4 linked regions of the Arabidopsis thaliana genome follow. The gene in region 1 interacts genetically with each later gene. Each region holds a gene or a part of one and is shown on either strand. Other genes may lie near its edges. The genes, in order: ETR1, THO1, CB5-D and CB5-C.

Evidence for each region.
Region 2: of ETR1 (region 1) and THO1, changing one suppresses a phenotype caused by changing the other (phenotypic suppression), as found in Arabidopsis thaliana (one study listed by BioGRID).
Region 3: of ETR1 (region 1) and CB5-D, changing one suppresses a phenotype caused by changing the other (phenotypic suppression), as found in Arabidopsis thaliana (one study listed by BioGRID).
Region 4: of ETR1 (region 1) and CB5-C, changing one suppresses a phenotype caused by changing the other (phenotypic suppression), as found in Arabidopsis thaliana (one study listed by BioGRID).

What each region holds. Positions count from the first base shown.
Region 1 is NC_003070.9:24,732,352-24,738,295, forward strand, and holds ETR1 (Signal transduction histidine kinase, hybrid-type, ethylene sensor), read left to right. Parts: upstream 1-1,810; 5' UTR 1,811-1,932; intron 1,933-2,301; 5' UTR 2,302-2,346; coding exon 2,347-3,252; intron 3,253-3,327; coding exon 3,328-3,696; intron 3,697-3,773; coding exon 3,774-4,028; intron 4,029-4,110; coding exon 4,111-4,238; intron 4,239-4,328; coding exon 4,329-4,526; intron 4,527-4,654; coding exon 4,655-5,015; 3' UTR 5,016-5,367; downstream 5,368-5,944. Other genes in the region: AT1G66345 (Pentatricopeptide repeat (PPR) superfamily protein), read left to right, coding at 5,368-5,944. UniProt on the Arabidopsis thaliana protein: Ethylene receptor related to bacterial two-component regulators. Acts as a redundant negative regulator of ethylene signaling.
Region 2 is NC_003076.8:3,064,946-3,071,543, forward strand, and holds THO1 (nuclear matrix protein-like protein), read left to right. Parts: upstream 1-1,632; 5' UTR 1,633-1,869; coding exon 1,870-1,872; intron 1,873-1,971; coding exon 1,972-2,055; intron 2,056-2,131; coding exon 2,132-2,206; intron 2,207-2,302; coding exon 2,303-2,405; intron 2,406-2,565; coding exon 2,566-2,711; intron 2,712-2,790; coding exon 2,791-2,862; intron 2,863-2,988; coding exon 2,989-3,061; intron 3,062-3,151; coding exon 3,152-3,217; intron 3,218-3,313; coding exon 3,314-3,360; intron 3,361-3,549; coding exon 3,550-3,621; intron 3,622-3,748; coding exon 3,749-3,874; intron 3,875-3,951; coding exon 3,952-4,017; intron 4,018-4,096; coding exon 4,097-4,138; intron 4,139-4,270; coding exon 4,271-4,387; intron 4,388-4,479; coding exon 4,480-4,562; intron 4,563-4,771; coding exon 4,772-4,838; intron 4,839-4,965; coding exon 4,966-5,037; intron 5,038-5,136; coding exon 5,137-5,187; intron 5,188-5,276; coding exon 5,277-5,336; intron 5,337-5,413; and 3 more. Other genes in the region: AT5G09850 (Transcription elongation factor (TFIIS) family protein), read right to left, coding at 1-276. UniProt on the Arabidopsis thaliana protein: Acts as a component of the THO subcomplex of the TREX complex which is thought to couple mRNA transcription, processing and nuclear export. Contributes to the integrity of the endogenous trans-acting small interfering RNA (ta-siRNA) pathway.
Region 3 is NC_003076.8:19,788,515-19,791,886, reverse strand, and holds CB5-D (cytochrome B5), read left to right. Parts: upstream 1-1,514; 5' UTR 1,515-1,706; coding exon 1,707-1,793; exon of another isoform or gene 1,794-2,228; coding exon 2,229-2,295; intron 2,296-2,369; coding exon 2,370-2,638; 3' UTR 2,639-2,820; downstream 2,821-3,372. Other genes in the region: AT5G48800 (Phototropic-responsive NPH3 family protein), read right to left, coding at 2,884-3,372. UniProt on the Arabidopsis thaliana protein: Membrane bound hemoprotein which function as an electron carrier for several membrane bound oxygenases, including fatty acid desaturases.
Region 4 is NC_003071.7:19,149,445-19,153,243, forward strand, and holds CB5-C (cytochrome B5), read left to right. Parts: upstream 1-2,036; 5' UTR 2,037-2,362; coding exon 2,363-2,440; intron 2,441-2,544; coding exon 2,545-2,611; intron 2,612-2,696; coding exon 2,697-2,950; 3' UTR 2,951-3,295; downstream 3,296-3,799. Other genes in the region: AT2G46640 (NAD-dependent protein deacetylase HST1-like protein), read left to right, coding at 1-65, 503-832, 1,076-1,237. UniProt on the Arabidopsis thaliana protein: Membrane bound hemoprotein which function as an electron carrier for several membrane bound oxygenases, including fatty acid desaturases.

The sequences.
Region 1 (5,944 bases):
AGATTCGATAGAGAAGAGAGACTAACCTTGTGGGAAGAAATGAAGAAGAAGAGTAATCCAAAGAAGGATTTAGGATTTTAGGGAGAAAGAAGAGGACAAAGAAGGAGAATTATGGGATTAGAAGTGAAAATTGTAACCACAAGAGTTACTTGTGGACCAGTGTGAGCCAACCATGTCCTAAGTTTTCTTTCTATTTCGATTCTCTGGTCATTATAGTATTGGCCCCACTCTTTCCCTTAATATCAATTTGGTTCAATCCATATATTTTGGTATTGCGATTTTTATTCTTATTTTAAATTGAAGGACCAACACTTATATATAAAGAATATACACCAATCTATTTATTATTAATTAGATTTAATTTGGAAATCCATAAAATTTAATACAGTAAAATCTCTATAAATTAATAATGTTGAGACCACAAAATTCTATTAATTTATAAAGGTATTAATTTATCGATAAATTAATATTTATTAATTTACAGAGAGATTTTCCAAAAGTGGTAATTTTTTTTTTAATTTCTATAAAAATTTAAGATTCATTCCATTATCTAAAATATATTTTTAGAACCAATTACAAATAGAAATAATTATCATGTCTAGAAAACAACAAGAAAAGTTTTTGATAGAGTAAAAATATTAAAATGAAATAAAAAAAAACTTATACAAATTTAAGTAAAAAAAAAACAATATTAAAATTATATTTCTCTGTAATTTATGATATTAATGGGACCCTATGTTTATATAAGATTTTCAAAAAAACTATTATCTTATTAATTTATCGATTTGTATCACTTTTTACAGTGGTTCCAACTCGGGACCGAAAAAATTTATTAATTTATAGAGATTATTAATTTATCGAGTATTAATTTATAGAGGTTTTACTGTATGTATCAAAATTTCGTGTGTTGAGATTTAATACTGATCTTAAAATGAGATTCAGTTCGAGATAGGCTGATTAGAGCCATCATCTTGAAGGTATATATTAAGATTCCATATTGTAAGTTTGAAGTAATCAACACTAGTATATATGAGACATAAACGTTGGTTGAGAATTGAATCGATGAAATTTAGTTTTGTTTGGATTTTGATTTGACTGGTTAAGGTCTTATGTACATTTTTCGGAGGATTGATTTCAAAAAAAACTAATGTAATAATTTTATATAATTGCTTAATATACTTTTGGTTTAGGATCAAATTTCTGGTTAACTCTGATTTAGTTTTGAGGTACTGAAAACCTATATTATGTCAATTTGGAGATATATTACAGTTAACCAGATATAACATTAGTAGTTTGATATATCTCCAAGTTGACATAATATAGCTTTTATTCACATGAACATATTTGTTTGATTCAACTTGTTTTACTTCTCTTACAACTATATAATGTTTTATACAAACGATTATTTACATAAGATTACACTTAAAACTCATAATTTTATATTGGCTAAACATATATATTGCTTAATCTCCAAATGACATTATCATTCTCCTTTTTTGAAATCATACGAATCAATGTAAGGTGAAAGTTAGTGAAAACAATATTTTGCATTTTTTGGTGAAACCATAAAGATAGTATTTGTTGATAAATATGGGGATATTTATCCTATATTATCTGTATTTTTCTTACCATTTTTACTCTATTCCTTTATCTACATTACGTCATTACACTATCATAAGATATTTGAATGAACAAATTCATGCACCCACCAGCTATATTACCCTTTTTTATTAAAAAAAAACATCTGATAATAATAACAAAAAAATTAGAGAAATGACGTCGAAAAAAAAAGTAAGAACGAAGAAGAAGTGTTAAACCCAACCAATTTTGACTTGAAAAAAAGCTTCAACGCTCCCCTTTTCTCCTTCTCCGTCGCTCTCCGCCGCGTCCCAAATCCCCAATTCCTCCTCTTCTCCGATCAATTCTTCCCAAGTAAGCTTCTTCTTCCTCGATTCTCTCCTCAGATTGTTTCGTGACTTCTTTATATATATTCTTCACTTCCACAGTTTTCTTCTGTTGTTGTCGTCGATCTCAAATCATAGAGATTGATTAACCTAATTGGTCTTTATCTAGTGTAATGCATCGTTATTAGGAACTTTAAATTAAGATTTAATCGTTAATTTCATGATTCGGATTCGAATTTTACTGTTCTCGAGACTGAAATATGCAACCTATTTTTTCGTAATCGTTGTGATCGAATTCGATTCTTCAGAATTTATAGCAATTTTGATGCTCATGATCTGTCTACGCTACGTTCTCGTCGTAAATCGAAGTTGATAATGCTATGTGTTTGTTACACAGGTGTGTGTATGTGTGAGAGAGGAACTATAGTGTAAAAAATTCATAATGGAAGTCTGCAATTGTATTGAACCGCAATGGCCAGCGGATGAATTGTTAATGAAATACCAATACATCTCCGATTTCTTCATTGCGATTGCGTATTTTTCGATTCCTCTTGAGTTGATTTACTTTGTGAAGAAATCAGCCGTGTTTCCGTATAGATGGGTACTTGTTCAGTTTGGTGCTTTTATCGTTCTTTGTGGAGCAACTCATCTTATTAACTTATGGACTTTCACTACGCATTCGAGAACCGTGGCGCTTGTGATGACTACCGCGAAGGTGTTAACCGCTGTTGTCTCGTGTGCTACTGCGTTGATGCTTGTTCATATTATTCCTGATCTTTTGAGTGTTAAGACTCGGGAGCTTTTCTTGAAAAATAAAGCTGCTGAGCTCGATAGAGAAATGGGATTGATTCGAACTCAGGAAGAAACCGGAAGGCATGTGAGAATGTTGACTCATGAGATTAGAAGCACTTTAGATAGACATACTATTTTAAAGACTACACTTGTTGAGCTTGGTAGGACATTAGCTTTGGAGGAGTGTGCATTGTGGATGCCTACTAGAACTGGGTTAGAGCTACAGCTTTCTTATACACTTCGTCATCAACATCCCGTGGAGTATACGGTTCCTATTCAATTACCGGTGATTAACCAAGTGTTTGGTACTAGTAGGGCTGTAAAAATATCTCCTAATTCTCCTGTGGCTAGGTTGAGACCTGTTTCTGGGAAATATATGCTAGGGGAGGTGGTCGCTGTGAGGGTTCCGCTTCTCCACCTTTCTAATTTTCAGATTAATGACTGGCCTGAGCTTTCAACAAAGAGATATGCTTTGATGGTTTTGATGCTTCCTTCAGATAGTGCAAGGCAATGGCATGTCCATGAGTTGGAACTCGTTGAAGTCGTCGCTGATCAGGTTTTACATTGCTGAGAATTTCTCTTCTTTGCTATGTTCATGATCTTGTCTATAACTTTTCTTCTCTTATTATAGGTGGCTGTAGCTCTCTCACATGCTGCGATCCTAGAAGAGTCGATGCGAGCTAGGGACCTTCTCATGGAGCAGAATGTTGCTCTTGATCTAGCTAGACGAGAAGCAGAAACAGCAATCCGTGCCCGCAATGATTTCCTAGCGGTTATGAACCATGAAATGCGAACACCGATGCATGCGATTATTGCACTCTCTTCCTTACTCCAAGAAACGGAACTAACCCCTGAACAAAGACTGATGGTGGAAACAATACTTAAAAGTAGTAACCTTTTGGCAACTTTGATGAATGATGTCTTAGATCTTTCAAGGTTAGAAGATGGAAGTCTTCAACTTGAACTTGGGACATTCAATCTTCATACATTATTTAGAGAGGTAACTTTTGAACAGCTCTATGTTTCATAAGTTTATACTATTTGTGTACTTGATTGTCATATTGAATCTTGTTGCAGGTCCTCAATCTGATAAAGCCTATAGCGGTTGTTAAGAAATTACCCATCACACTAAATCTTGCACCAGATTTGCCAGAATTTGTTGTTGGGGATGAGAAACGGCTAATGCAGATAATATTAAATATAGTTGGTAATGCTGTGAAATTCTCCAAACAAGGTAGTATCTCCGTAACCGCTCTTGTCACCAAGTCAGACACACGAGCTGCTGACTTTTTTGTCGTGCCAACTGGGAGTCATTTCTACTTGAGAGTGAAGGTTATTATCTTGTATCTTGGGATCTTATACCATAGCTGAAAGTATTTCTTAGGTCTTAATTTTGATGATTATTCAAATATAGGTAAAAGACTCTGGAGCAGGAATAAATCCTCAAGACATTCCAAAGATTTTCACTAAATTTGCTCAAACACAATCTTTAGCGACGAGAAGCTCGGGTGGTAGTGGGCTTGGCCTCGCCATCTCCAAGAGGTTTGAGCCTTATTAAAAGACGTTTTTTTCCAACTTTTTCTTGTCTTCTGTGTTGTTAAAAGTTTACTCATAAGCGTTTAATATGACAAGGTTTGTGAATCTGATGGAGGGTAACATTTGGATTGAGAGCGATGGTCTTGGAAAAGGATGCACGGCTATCTTTGATGTTAAACTTGGGATCTCAGAACGTTCAAACGAATCTAAACAGTCGGGCATACCGAAAGTTCCAGCCATTCCCCGACATTCAAATTTCACTGGACTTAAGGTTCTTGTCATGGATGAGAACGGGTTAGTATAAGCTTCTCACCTTTCTCTTTGCAAAATCTCTCGCCTTACTTCTTGCAAATGCAGATATTGGCGTTTAGAAAAAACGCAAATTTAATCTTATGAGAAACCGATGATTATTTTGGTTGCAGGGTAAGTAGAATGGTGACGAAGGGACTTCTTGTACACCTTGGGTGCGAAGTGACCACGGTGAGTTCAAACGAGGAGTGTCTCCGAGTTGTGTCCCATGAGCACAAAGTGGTCTTCATGGACGTGTGCATGCCCGGGGTCGAAAACTACCAAATCGCTCTCCGTATTCACGAGAAATTCACAAAACAACGCCACCAACGGCCACTACTTGTGGCACTCAGTGGTAACACTGACAAATCCACAAAAGAGAAATGCATGAGCTTTGGTCTAGACGGTGTGTTGCTCAAACCCGTATCACTAGACAACATAAGAGATGTTCTGTCTGATCTTCTCGAGCCCCGGGTACTGTACGAGGGCATGTAAAGGCGATGGATGCCCCATGCCCCAGAGGAGTAATTCCGCTCCCGCCTTCTTCTCCCGTAAAACATCGGAAGCTGATGTTCTCTGGTTTAATTGTGTACATATCAGAGATTGTCGGAGCGTTTTGGATGATATCTTAAAACAGAAAGGGAATAACAAAATAGAAACTCTAAACCGGTATGTGTCCGTGGCGATTTCGGTTATAGAGGAACAAGATGGTGGTGGTATAATCATACCATTTCAGATTACATGTTTGACTAATGTTGTATCCTTATATATGTAGTTACATTCTTATAAGAATTTGGATCGAGTTATGGATGCTTGTTGCGTGCATGTATGACATTGATGCAGTATTATGGCGTCAGCTTTGCGCCGCTTAGTAGAACAACAACAATGGCGTTACTTAGTTTCTCAATCAACCCGATCTCCAAAACTCATCCATGGCTTCTTCTCCTTCTCCTCCAAAACTAATCCAAATCCAAACAAACAACAACAAATCCTCATCGACTACATCTCCAAATCCCTCCAATCCAACGATACCTGGGAAACTCTCTCCACCAAATTCTCCTCCATAGATCTATCAGATTCCTTAATCGAAACAATCCTTCTCCGATTCAAAAACCCCGAAACCGCCAAACAAGCTTTATCCTTCTTCCATTGGTCATCCCACACTCGAAATCTCCGTCACGGAATCAAATCTTACGCATTGACGATTCATATCCTTGTCAAAGCTCGATTACTAATCGACGCTCGAGCTTTAATTGAATCGTCTCTGTTAAATTCTCCTCCCGATTCGGATTTAGTCGATTCGTTGTTAGATACTTATGAGATCTCATCTTCTACTCCTTTAGTGTTTGATTTGTTAGTTCAATGTTACGCTAAGATTAGGTATTTGGAATTAGGGTTTGATGTGTTCAAGAGATTGTGTGATT
Region 2 (6,598 bases), on another chromosome or scaffold:
TACTCCTTCTTCATCTTCCTCCTCCGTCTCCTCGTGAACCCTCCCATTATTAACCCTACCAATCGCCGCCTCCGTAACGTTACCACCGCCGCCAAAATCGCAGTTTCTACACTTGTTAGCCATCGACGTAGCGTAGAGACGCTCGACGATGTTATCTCTCCGACGTTTCAGTTCTTGACCATAGTCAAGAGACGCAACAAGAATCGCCGTATCGATAAATGTCCAAACATCAACACCTGCGTTATCCATAACCGATCGGAAATCATCCAAATCCATTATCACCCACACTCCTCCTTCTTCCCCAAATTTGGTTACTTAATAAAGAATTCAAAACGAAAAACAAAAAACAGAGCAAATCGAATTACGTAACCAGATCTAAAAGATGAATCTTTTGATGAATTTGATTCATCGGAGATTAAAAATCGTGAAGAACCAAACAAAGTTTAGATTTCAAATAGTTTAAAAGATAGACAAATAAAAAAAACAAAAAACAGAAGAATCAGATTGGTAAATTCAGATTAAAAAGGAAGACCCTTTACTGTTACGAGGAAGAAAGAAACAGAGGAGGTCGTCTCACATAAGATCAATAATGAGTAAATGGCAAATTAAAAAAAAAAAAGGGAATGAAGAAGAAAGGGAATATTCCAAATTTGAGGCTTTAGAATTTGGTTTGGAGGGTTATTGCTTTTTCTTTCATTCTTCTGCAAGTTTTTTTTTGTTTGGTCCGTTAATAAAAATAATATTCAGACAGAATCAATTAACAGTTTTAGGACAAAAGTAAAAGAAGAAAATGGGAATTGCTTTATTGAGGGATGATGCTCTTTGCCCTGGACAGAGCAAAGCTAAGCAAGTTGGTTTGTTGTGGTTGGGGAGATGAACAGCTCTAGAGAGAGAGAGAGAGAGATGTGAGTGTTTTTCTTTCAATAATGGCGTTTACTTTTTTTAGTTTTTCTTCAAGTGACGAGAAACATTTTACATGTTTCGACTTTTTTGGTTATTGGGCCTCTAAATTTTTGGCCCTATAGCAAGTGGACCCAATATGTCAAATCAATATTTTCATTTGGTCTCAAAGTGTTTGTTTCATGACTTTCATCTCATGAGCCACTGCCACTCACTAATCGTTTAGTGAATTTACGTCGACGGTACAATCAAAACCCCCAAAGAGAAGATCACATCCGAGTTTTTAGGTGTTGAAGGAGGTGTTCGATCCATCAAAGTTTACTTTGTTAGGAAGTAATGTTTATTTATCACTTGTTGAGTGTAGATTATGAATACAATGTCTTTTATGCAATTATTGGAACCTAATATTTATCTCGAACAATTTCGAGCAATTTTTGAAATCTTCAAATCCTTCTCATGTGAGCTATTATGATTTCTTCTGCAATAACATACCATGAACAATTTCGAGCAATTTTTGAATACAGATGTTTTAAATTTCTAATTGATTTGATTCCACACATTAAAACTACGCCATATCCAACATATACAGGCAAAGGTCTTCTGTAAAACTAAATAATGTGAAGCCCACCACCCAACGGATATCATTTTACTATGAAAGGCCCAATGAACATGTTGTTATTCAGTTTATAAATTAAAAATATTTCGGATCCAGATCCAAGCCCGGATATTTGCGGATAATTTGATTGTTGGGAGGATATCTTCCGGATCCGGATCCACCCTAAATTAAAATTGTTCTTCCTCCACTCTTCTTCAAGTTTGGCCTCCGTTTCCAGATTTTTATTCAATTCTTCTTAATCAACTTTTAAAATCCGGCGACTCATAGTCCGTGAATTTTGACCGGCATATCCGGTTTTGGTGTCGTCGGTAAATTCCTCTTCATTGCAGTGGAAGCTGGTTCATTGAGAAATAATGGTAACTCTTTTGGGATTATGAGACTTGTTTTCTTTTGCTTCTTGTTAAATCTATATAGCTTATAAAAACTTGTTTTCTGCAATTTGTGGTTCTTCGCAGGATGCATTTAGAGATGCTATATTGCAGCGAGCTCCAATTGAAACCTTTGCACTCAAGACTGTTCAACACTTTATACAACCTCAGGTAACTCTTTCGAATCAACTAACAATTTCTTCACTCCTTTAGTCTTACTTATTGTCTTTATTGTAAAATTTGACAGAAACAAACAAAGTTGGCTCAAGATGAAAACCAAATGCTTGAAAACATGCTCCGGACATTGCTGCAGGAGCTAGTGGTCTCTTCTTTCTCCACTATTATATTTTCGTGGTATGCGTATATACTTGTTCATTTATATATGTGTGGATTTCTCTTTCTGTTTTCGGGGTTTCAGGCTGCTGCTGCGCAATCAGGGGAGCAAATTATGCAGTATGGTCAGTTGATTGACGATGATGATGATGATGATGATATACATGGACAGATTCCTCATCTTCTAGGTTAGCAATCTCTCTAGTCTGATTTGCATAGTTCGTTCAAACAAGTGCTAGCGTTGTCCCCGTAAAACTTCTTATTCTCTTGTTGTCTATTGCTTATCATCTTGTCCTCACTACTTTTGTCTAACCTCTCACCATCTTCATGTTTTGATTGCTTTGTTAGATGTTGTGCTTTATCTTTGTGAGAAAGAGCATGTAGAAGGTGGCATGATATTCCAGCTGCTGGAGGATTTGACCGAAATGTCTACTATGAAAAACTGTAAAGATGTTTTCGGTTATATTGAAAGCAAACAAGATATATTGGGCAAGGTATTTCTTAAACGAAATCAAATTTTTTCTCGGTTAGTTGTATCTTGTATTTTGACTTGGATGTTGCAATTATTTGCAGCAAGAGCTTTTTGCACGCGGAAAACTTGTCATGTTGAGGACTTGCAACCAACTTCTCCGCCGACTCTCAAAGGTTCGCTATCTGCACCCTTTTCTAGTTCCCTTTGTCAAATATCCATAAGTCATAATCTACTTTTTCATATATAACACATCCACTCTTTTTTAATTCTTTTTTTTGCTTTCACTATTTGGCATACAGGCCAATGATGTTGTATTCTGTGGAAGGATTCTTATGTTTTTGGCTCACTTTTTTCCGTTATCTGAGCGCTCAGGTAAGAAGGGTTTCTCGTGCATATACGATTATTTGGTATGTGAATGTTTAAAAGGTGTGTAACGTTTACTTGCGTGACTTATTCTTTCAGCCGTCAATATAAAAGGTGTTTTTAATACATCTAATGAAACCAAATATGAAAAAGATCCTCCAAAAGGCAAGTGATTTTTTTTTTTCTTATGCTTTTGGTCCTTATCTCCATATGACAATTCTAAAACGTGTTACTTATTCTGTCTATGTCATTGCTTCTCAGGCATTTCTGTAGATTTCAACTTCTACAAGACATTTTGGAGTTTACAGGTGCGTATTAGTTAAAGGAACTTTGTAGGGAACGAATGTTATGCCTTTATCATAAGGGTTGTCTCATAGAACCTCTGTTTGCATATCATGCAAAATCAACATTACTGGAGATAGCATCTCAAATTTCCTTTTGTTAGTTAGTTTATTGAGATAGTTCTTTTCTTACTGAGAAAATTGTTTCGTTTCCAGGAGTATTTCTGTAATCCCGCTTCTCTTACTTCCGCATCTACCAAGTGGCAGAAATTTTCATCCAGTTTGGCGGTATGTGATCTTTGGTTTTTGACTAAATTGCATTACCTGGTCTTGTATATATGTATATGCATAGAAAATTCATGCTGGCGGTAGTGAGAAATCATCTTAGACCTTGTTTCTTGAACTGCTTATGTAGGTTGTTTTAAACACCTTTGATGCTCAACCACTAAGCGAAGAAGAGGGAGAGGCTAATAGTTTGGAGGAAGAGGCAGCAACTTTTAATATAAAGTACCTAACAAGTAGTAAATTGATGGGTTTAGAGGTAAGTATGCTGTGGTTGGACATGCGCACTTCTGAACTTAGCAGTTCACTCACTTTTTTTTCTACCTTTCGCCACAGTTAAAGGATTCGAGTTTCCGACGACATATTCTTCTCCAGTGCCTCATTATGTTTGATTATCTAAGGGTAAATGTCTCTCAAGAATTATTGCACGGAAATTACTCTCTCTGGTATTCTGGTATAACTGAATCCTGTTTCCGTTTAGGCACCAGGGAAGAACGACAAAGATCTGCCATCTGAAACCATGGTCAGTGTTTTTTCTTGTTTAATGAGAAAATTCCTCTTGCTTTCTTTCAAAGGTTCACAAACCTAGTTATATCTCAGTATTCAGGGTTTTATGCATAATTACTCAAAGGTATTGTTTATCTTTTCGGTCTAGAAGGAAGAACTTAAGTCATGTGAGGATCGTGTAAAGAAATTGCTTGAGATCACTCCGCCTAAAGGGAAAGAATTCCTCCGTGCAGTTGAGCATATACTGGAGCGCGAAAAGAATTGGGTATGTGTGCTGCTTTCTCTCTTACCTGCTGCATGATTTTCTGGCTTGTAGTTGAGGGCCGTTAATGATCTTCTACAATACACAAATAACAGGTCTGGTGGAAACGTGATGGATGTCCACCATTTGAAAAGCAACCGATAGATAAGAAATCACCTAATGCAGGGCAAAAGAAACGGTATGGGGAAAAGCTGACCTTGTAATCTAACTGCTTTGTACTCATAGATGGTGTCCGCCATTCGAATTTAGAATACATTACGTGGAAGAAATTGAGAAGATGTTTTTTCCCTAGTGATCTCTGGTCGCTAGTCCATTAAAGTGAGAAACAACTAATAAATCTGCATTACGAGTATTAGGCTCAATATGGGTTATCTTTTGCTTTTACAGGAGACAAAGATGGAGATTGGGAAATAAAGAACTCTCCCAACTTTGGAGATGGGCAGATCAAAATCCGGTATGCATTATTTTTCTTTGCATCCTTGTTCGTTGTTCATATTATGCCACATGCTTCTCCAGCTCTCCTCTCGGCTCAATCTTCATATTACGACTCTACAATAATTGTATATCTGATGGGATAACAGAATGCTTTGACTGATTCTCAACGCGTGCGAACCCCTGATATTGCAGACTACTGGAAACCATTAGCAGAAGATGTGAGCTAACATACTGTTTTCTTTATTTTTCCCAAAGGACATCTTAAAAAAAATGGTTGATGTCTTATTAGCACACCTGATGTTTTGTTAAAATCTCAGATGGATCCATCAGCTGGCATAGAAGATGAGTACCATCATAAAAACAACAGAGTATATAACTTTCCTCTGATTTACAACTTTTTTTTTTATGATGCTTAATTGAATCAGTCTAAGGCAGATAATTGTTACTGTTTTGATAGGTTTACTGCTGGAAAGGTCTTCGGTTTACAGCTCGGCAAGACCTTGAAGGATTTTCTAGGGTAAAATTTTCTTCGATTTCGATTTCCCAATGCTTCATATGATTGCTTTTTAAAACCTTTTTCTTTCTTTTTCACAGTTTACTGAAATGGGAATCGAAGGAGTTGTCCCAGTTGAACTATTGCCGCCTGAGGTCCGGTCCAAATACCAAGCTAAACCAAACGAAAAAGCCAAACGAGCGAAGAAAGAAGAAACCAAAGGTGGATCTCATGAAACAGAGGGAAACCAGATTGGTGTTTCTAATAGTGAAGCTGAAGCTGAAGGAGGAAGGGGTGATGCAGAGACGATGGAGAGTGATGCTATTGCAGACACTCCTACGCCTGAGGAACAGCAAAGACTCGGTGGTTCTGATACAGAAAACGGTCAAGAGGCCGGTCAAATCGAAGACGGAGAGACAGAAGAAGCTGGTCTGATGGACACTGATCTTGATCATCCTCCTATGCCCGTCTCATGAATACGCTTTCAGTTTGTCGACCCTTTCTTCAATGGGGAATCCTTTGGATATGAAGTTCAAAAGTATTGATGTTTAACAAATTATGTTAAAAGGTATTTTCTAAATATGTTTGTATGAGTGCAAATCTGCTAGCTTATTACCTGTCTTTCCATTTCTATATACTCAACAAAATCATCATACAATTAAGTTCTTTTGCGTAATTTATCGTCTAAGTGTAACACTAGACACATATTCGCAGCTAATAAACATTGGATTCAATTGCAATCCACTAAAAATACACTCAAACAAACAAAAAAATCAAATACTTGAGGAACCAAAAGCTAAAAGTGTTACTATTATAGCTATCAACATAAACTTTATGTTTTGCCATCAATATTTATTTAGAATATAAATGAGTGGTTTTTAAGTCGTGTCACGATTTTTAAAGTCCATAAACACCACCGATCTCCATATAATAATAAGGTTTCATCATATGCCAAATCCAATAATACGTGAAACTATACCAGTTCATTGTAGGCTTATTTGGTTATATTATTACTACCTCCAATCATTGAAAATGTATATACTTTGTTTAGTCGTTATCACTTGTCAATGCATATCAAATCACCTTATAAATTTACCCAAATTCACTATTGAATTGTTGATGCACTGTCACATAAGATCACAGTTGTCTTATAGTCGTCGCACTGTTATGACAAAAAAAGTGTCGACTCATATTGAAACAAAAAAAAGACTAAACAATGTTGGCACAGCGATGCGATAAAGAATCGACCAAGAGACAACCGAGTGATTTGTGTTGTCAACGACAAA
Region 3 (3,372 bases), on another chromosome or scaffold:
GAAATCTTATCTCGAACCCAATCATTGTTCTATGTTTTTCTTTAATCTCTAAAAGTGAAAAAGTGAATGCATGAAACGTTCAGATACATTCATTATATTATACATTTATACATATGGACATGGTGTACGTATGTACACGGGTGCTTGTTTGATCACGGGCTCACTGACTATAAAAATCATGTTTTTTGGGACATATAGATTCGCTTACATCAACTGTGTGACCAATGGGGTATCTGAATTCAGCTTGTTCGATGTTTTGTTTGACTCTTTTAAACTATTTGGTAGTAAAAAGCCAAAAAGGAAGAGCACTGATTACGAAAGCCTTTTTGTCTTTTTGTTTCTTCTTCTCTAGCTCTCTTTCGTTCTCCTTTTGGGTTAGTCCTTCAAAATAAATGTCTTTAACTTGTCATGTATAGTTTCTTTCTCTCGTTGAACACCAACCATAGGCCTTGCAATGTGAGTCAAAACATGCATTGAAAAAAGAAGTGAATTTCAACATTAAATGCTCTCGTTTAACATGCCTATGGTTCCATTAAGCAAAGTACACACTCTATATATGTCGAAAGAACTATACAGTCGGTGTTTTAGCCCTATAGTTAGATACATTCGAACTGATTACAGAAATATCAAATATCCAGTTCTAAGATCGGATTAAGGCAAATACATTTAAACTACTTCTAGCGAATGAGGTTCACATAGAAAAACTTTTTAAAATGAATCACTAAACAAGATTCATTTTCTTTCTAAATAGTGTAAAGACGAGTGATGCATGCAACTGCTCTCCTTTCCGTTGGTCCCTTGTCAAAATATACGACCGTGAATAATTCTTCCCATCATATTTATCTGTCGGAGAGTTCCAACCTCAAAACATTCTCCTTCTCTTATCAATTCTTTCTAAAATCATAAACCAACAAACTGGGCCTATGATCAATTATTCATATTCAATTTAGCCTATAACTAAAACCACACTGCTTTCGTTACACTGGCCTTCCGACAAGTCTCTTTGACTGTTTTTATCTTAAGCGCCATCAAGTTTTAAAGAAGACAACCCCATATCTTTCCTCCCATGAATCATCGTGTCCATATTGCTATAGTTCATGAAAAAACTAAATACTATCGACAACTGAAGAAAAGATCCGGATCTTGTGGACCGAGTGAATGGTTGGGCCCAATTAGAATGGTCTACCCTAACATCTAGCCGTCTACACGATTGATCATACGTCTAAGAGGGCGAAACCACCAAACGTTTGGATTTTATCTAAATTGATGTACATAAAGCTAACATGATTTTAGTATAAACATTATAAGCATCATGGAAATCAATAAGCTAACATGATTTTAGTAGAAACATTATCAGCTAACATGAATTACTAAAAACATTTATTTTATTTTAAGGAAAAACATACAATACTAAGATTTTTTATAACATTTTTTCTTTGTAACATTATAAATTGTTTTAGTTTCTACATTAATTAAATATATAAAATAAATTCATTTAAATAATATAAGAAAACGGAATCTTTGATTAACTGCTGATTATTGGCCACTGATTAATTTCCGACCCCATCAATAGATGAGATCAGACATACACAACTTAAGTAGACCAAAAAAGCGGTTGGTGTAAGATCCCAAACTCACAGATTCCCAAATAATAGTAATACTCTTCCTCTTCTCAACTCTCACCAGTCACCAGCAGATCATCGGAGATGGGCGGAGACGGAAAAGTTTTCACCTTGTCCGAGGTTTCTCAGCACAGTAGCGCCAAGGATTGTTGGATCGTCATCGACGGCAAGGTCCTACATCTCCGATCCCAGTTTCTCATTCGATTTTCCGTTTTCCCTTAGATTTTGCATCTTATCTTCGTGAGATCCGAAATTCTTGAGTTGTGTTGACTTGGATTTATAAATCTAGAGTTATGTAGTAACAAGTTTGGGGATAGATCTGATCTGATTTGCTAGATTAATGTTACTTTTCTAAGTCTAAATCACAGAGAAATTGCTAAAAACTTACGTCTTTATAATTGAATGTGATAGTTGGTGCTGCTTAAGATGTCTCTGTGTGATCTTGTATCTGTAGTTAAAGCTAGTAAGGTTCATGTAGTTCATGTATGTTCTGATGTATGAACTTTTGATAACCCACTTAATCTAGGTCTCTGATTGTGTGGAATTAGGGACTTATATGACAAAGTTTACATTTTTTGTGTGTTTCATTTTGATGGTTATATATAGGTTTATGATGTGACAAAGTTCTTGGATGATCATCCTGGTGGTGATGAGGTTATCTTGACTTCTACAGGTAACATATAGAGATCACTTTCTCTGTTTGTTAGTTCATGTTTATGTTAACAAGAATGTGTTGTTGGTATTCAGGGAAAGATGCGACCGATGATTTCGAGGATGTGGGACATAGTTCGACTGCGAAAGCCATGCTAGATGAGTACTATGTGGGTGATATTGACACAGCTACTGTGCCGGTTAAAGCTAAGTTTGTGCCTCCTACGTCGACGAAAGCCGTGGCTACTCAGGATAAGAGCTCGGATTTTGTTATTAAGCTCCTTCAGTTCCTTGTTCCACTTCTAATCTTAGGCTTGGCTTTCGGCATTCGGTACTACACTAAGACCAAGGCTCCTTCTTCTTGAAAGATTGAATTGTGGCCTAAGTGAATTGCTTGTGTACGACGTGGTTAAACTCTGTCTCTACCTCTGTTTGTCTTGTAAGACATCATTATATTCTCTATTCCAATCAACTGATAGACCTTTGATTTTTAAGCCATCTACCTTTGTTGTCTTATATCAATCAAATCCATTTACAATATCACTCACACACCAGTCTCAAGTCTCACTTAAAAAGCAGCAACAGGTAAGAGAAAATGATAAACACTGAGCTAATCTGTGCTTGCGCAAGTTCTCTCCATCAGTACCTTTGAATCTGTTCTGAAAGACTGCTTTGATGGAGAGCTTGATCCTCTTGAAGAGCTATGCCCAAAGAAGCTAAGTTTCCCCATTTTCTTTGAGAAACTGCTCATGAATTTGCGCGAATGAGACCTCTGCATATCTCTCTTCATACATATATGTTCTTTCTCTAGGTCGTTGAGTCTCATTCTCAACCTAGCTAACTCGAGCTTCAGTTCTCGGTTTTCTCTCCTCAGAGACGCATAGTTGTCTTTGGGGGACATTGTTGCACTGAGAGCTCCGCTATTGATTCTCCATGACTGCTGTTGTTGCTGCTTTGGCTTTGGCTCTTCGTCTGAGTAAGAAGAGCACAAGGAGCTTCGAAGCTTGAGTTGCTCAAAGTAGAGAACTTGAACTATGGATTGCAGAGGAAGCCGCTCGTTTTGTGCAGCGTGTGCTCCAGCTTCTTGTGAGAGTTTCTG
Region 4 (3,799 bases), on another chromosome or scaffold:
ACCAAGAGTCGGATCCTCTTATCTCCGTTGAAAATAAGTTTTATGATCATCATGAAGATGTCGGGGTACGTATTCTAATCAGTTCTATTGAGTACATTTTTATGATCCTCGGGTTGATTTACCAATAGAGAAGATTATATAGACATATGACATGCATATGCTTCAATTGTTCGTGTGCGTTTACGTTGATTTGATTAGTATATTCAAATGAATCCAAAATTTTAAAATCTTTAAACTAGTTTAATTGTTATTGTAGAAATAAGTTAACTAAAATGGAAGGATTATACGTTCACTAATCTACAAAAATTTGGGTTTTCTTTCAAAATATGACTTTAAAGACATATAAATGCAGAAATTGCATTTGAGTCAATCGAGATCGTCATTTTTTTTTCTGTCGACAATTAAGGCCATTATACGCAAAGAAATAAGTACATAAAATAAGTACATAAAATTATATCTTCTTGACTCTTGATATTGAATTTCTTGAGATCTTTCGTATTAGAATCTGTACGTACAGGCCGATACTGATCACTTTGGCTCGATCAAAACCGCTGAAACGCCAGCTGTCACGGCGGCAGCCGAGGCCGAGATAGAGCCACAGAAGAAGAGGACAACACTTGCGGAGCTTTTCATGGAGGACCACGACAAAGGTTATGACACGTGGCATTGCAAGAAACCCAATAACCCTAATCTTGACGGTGAGGAGGTTAAGTACTATAAACAAAACGGTTCAAAACTAAGCAAGAGGTTCTCGTTTGTTAAGAAGAAGCTGGTCATGTCAAAGTCCAAAGAGGAAGAAAACGACTTACGTCCAATCAAGAAAATGCGTCAGGTATTTAAATTTGTTTTAGTCAATTCCGTAACTATGAAACATTGATGATGATGGATATATGAACATGTTACATGTGCCTCTATAGCTCAAGGGAAACAATGTCACGTCAAGATCTAGATAATTATTCGTGCATGTTACAATTACATCACTTTTGTTGCTTCATAAGTGTACTCATATGTGAGTAAATATTCATTCGATGTCAACAAGTATAGCATCATTATATATGTGTATATATTACTGTAGATGATAAAGAGGATGTTGAAGAAGAAGATCCATCCAGATGTCGATGCAACTAAGGCTTTAAAGAAGGACGTTCCATACAAGCCAACTCGGAACTGTGAAGCTCTCGAGTCACATTATCTTCTTAAAATTCAAGGTTTGTATTTCTTAATTATTTTGGTTTAGGGGTTCGATATGATTTATTTCTTTCATTTGCTCGTATATATATGCTTTGTGGACAGATTGCGTGGCCTAGAAGTCTAAGAACGACGACATCGTACAAGAGCAATCTCTGGATCTATTGTTCTACTCCCTATAATATATGTGATTTTTTTGTTCTTATTTCAGAATGTGTTGGTATTGTTATGACTGTTGAGATGTATTGCTTTCTTCTTACAAACATTACTAAGTTGTTAGTATTTGTTCCTGTTATGCATATTGTATTTTATTACTATGTCATATGTTTTCTTATTTATACGTATATCAATGCATCGTTCTAAAATCGTGGATTGTCGTGAATCTGTGATAGTATTCCATCATGTCTGCTATAGCTTGGTCAGTTTTGAAGAAATTTCAAACCTAAAGTCATAAACTGATAAAGGACTAAATTATCCTACTCAAAACAGAAAGCCCTTTTGTGCGTTATTGGGCCTAATCAGAAAAGTGATTTTGAAAAAGGGCCTAATCAGAAAAGTGATTTTGAGGCTTTTTAAAAGTTTAAAGTAAACAAAAGAAAATTGAGGCTTGACTTTTCTTTCTTTTTTTGACTTGTTTTCTTTTTTCCTTTTTCTTATAAGAGAAAACTAAAACGTGAAAGAGCTTCACCAACCTGAGGTCGCTGACCACTTGGAGGCATTCTCAGCTACCAATCCATTAACTTACAAACTCCATATTCTTCACGTTTTACTATGGTAGGTACCTTTTTTTAACCTTGTTCGTAATAACAATTTTATACGAAAAGAATAGTATTAAACTTCAACAAAAACAACTATGTATATTAACTGGTCAGATATACATTGCTTTGTTCCCTTACATCTTCAAAGAGCTAAGATTAAACTATTTACCCCAAATAAGACTGTAATTTCATCAAAATCTAGTAATAATAATATTCAACAGCTTACAATATAAACATAACGCGTGTGGTCTCCATAAGCTACGCACTGTCTTTTCATCGGTTCGTAGAAACTAGAAACTCTTCCCCTCACGATCTTGCTTTCTTTATTTTGCTTCAACCCTAGTTTATTTGAAGTCTCTATATAAAGTTCTCTGTTTCAAGTTACTTTCTCAGCACGAGCAACCAAAAGTAATCATATGGCGAATCTAATTTCGTTTCACGATGTGGCTAAACATAAGTGCAAGAACGATTGTTGGATTCTCATCCATGGAAAGGTCCATATTTCTACTTTCTTTAAATCACGTAAACAAATTTATAGATTATAAATGCTCTGTTTTTTTAGCTTTATACTTGTTTCTAAACACATGTTTATCCACAGGTCTATGACATCAGCACTTTCATGGACGAACATCCCGGAGGTGACAATGTTCTCCTCGCCGTCACCGGTACGTACGAGTACGAGTTGGTTTATTCCGGTTTAGTTTGAATTTATCGGTTTGTAATTTTGTGAGTTTTTATGAAAATTTAAAGGGAAAGACGCGTCGATCGATTTCGAAGATGTGAACCATAGCAAAGATGCCAAGGAGCTAATGAAGAAATACTGTATCGGTGACGTTGACCAGTCAACGGTTCCGGTGACGCAACAGTATATTCCGCCGTGGGAGAAGGAATCTACGGCGGCGGAAACAACTAAAGAAGAATCTGGAAAGAAGCTGCTTATCTACTTAATTCCTCTCTTGATACTCGGCGTTGCTTTCGCTCTCAGATTCTACAACAACAAGTAGACCAAATTATGATGAACAGATTGATAAGAGTTTCTTACTGTTCTTGGTTTTCGTTTGTTGGTAATAACGGGCTTCTTATGTGAAGATTTGGGCCATTTGGCCCATCGCTCAGAATTGGACTATAATGTCTTATTTATTTTATGTTAATGGGCCGTATCAGTAGGCCCTTTGTTGATATATGCCAATCCCAATTTCTTCTAGCATGAGCTTTGTGTTATTTACTTGATTTTGATAAAACAACCAACTTATGCAGTAGATTCCATTTGACGAAAAAAAATAAAAATAAAAATGCAGTAGATTCCATTAAATTCGTACTTAATAATAAAAATGGGTGAGGGCATACTTACAAAGAAGGAATGTGTGTCAGTGTGTGTCAAAAATATGACACAGACACAGAATTATTTTTAGCAAAAACGTTCCACATAATTTCAACCTTTATACTGTCGGTTATTTTTTGCCACTTTAAAGACACAGAATTCAATGTGTCATAAAAAAGGACACAAAGAAATGAAGAATGTTGGTTTTTAATTTACTAATTCGAGAGGGGATTTATTAATCAAATTTCGAAATGTAATGTTAGTATTTCTATATTATATTACTAGAAGACGATTAAAAATATGAGAATATTTTTCTTAAGTAAAGTTTTTTTTTCTTTTTTAAACCGTGTAATGTTAATTGTTTGGTAAAACAAACCAAACATTCGTGTTTCTATGCAACTTATTAAACAAGTGATTGTTATTATATATAATAAAAAAAAACGTTTCCGGAGTGATAGTAGACTTGCAAAGATCGTTCACCAGAATCTTGGAAACTAAATTTTATAGTTTAATATCCTGTTGCGTTTTTTTT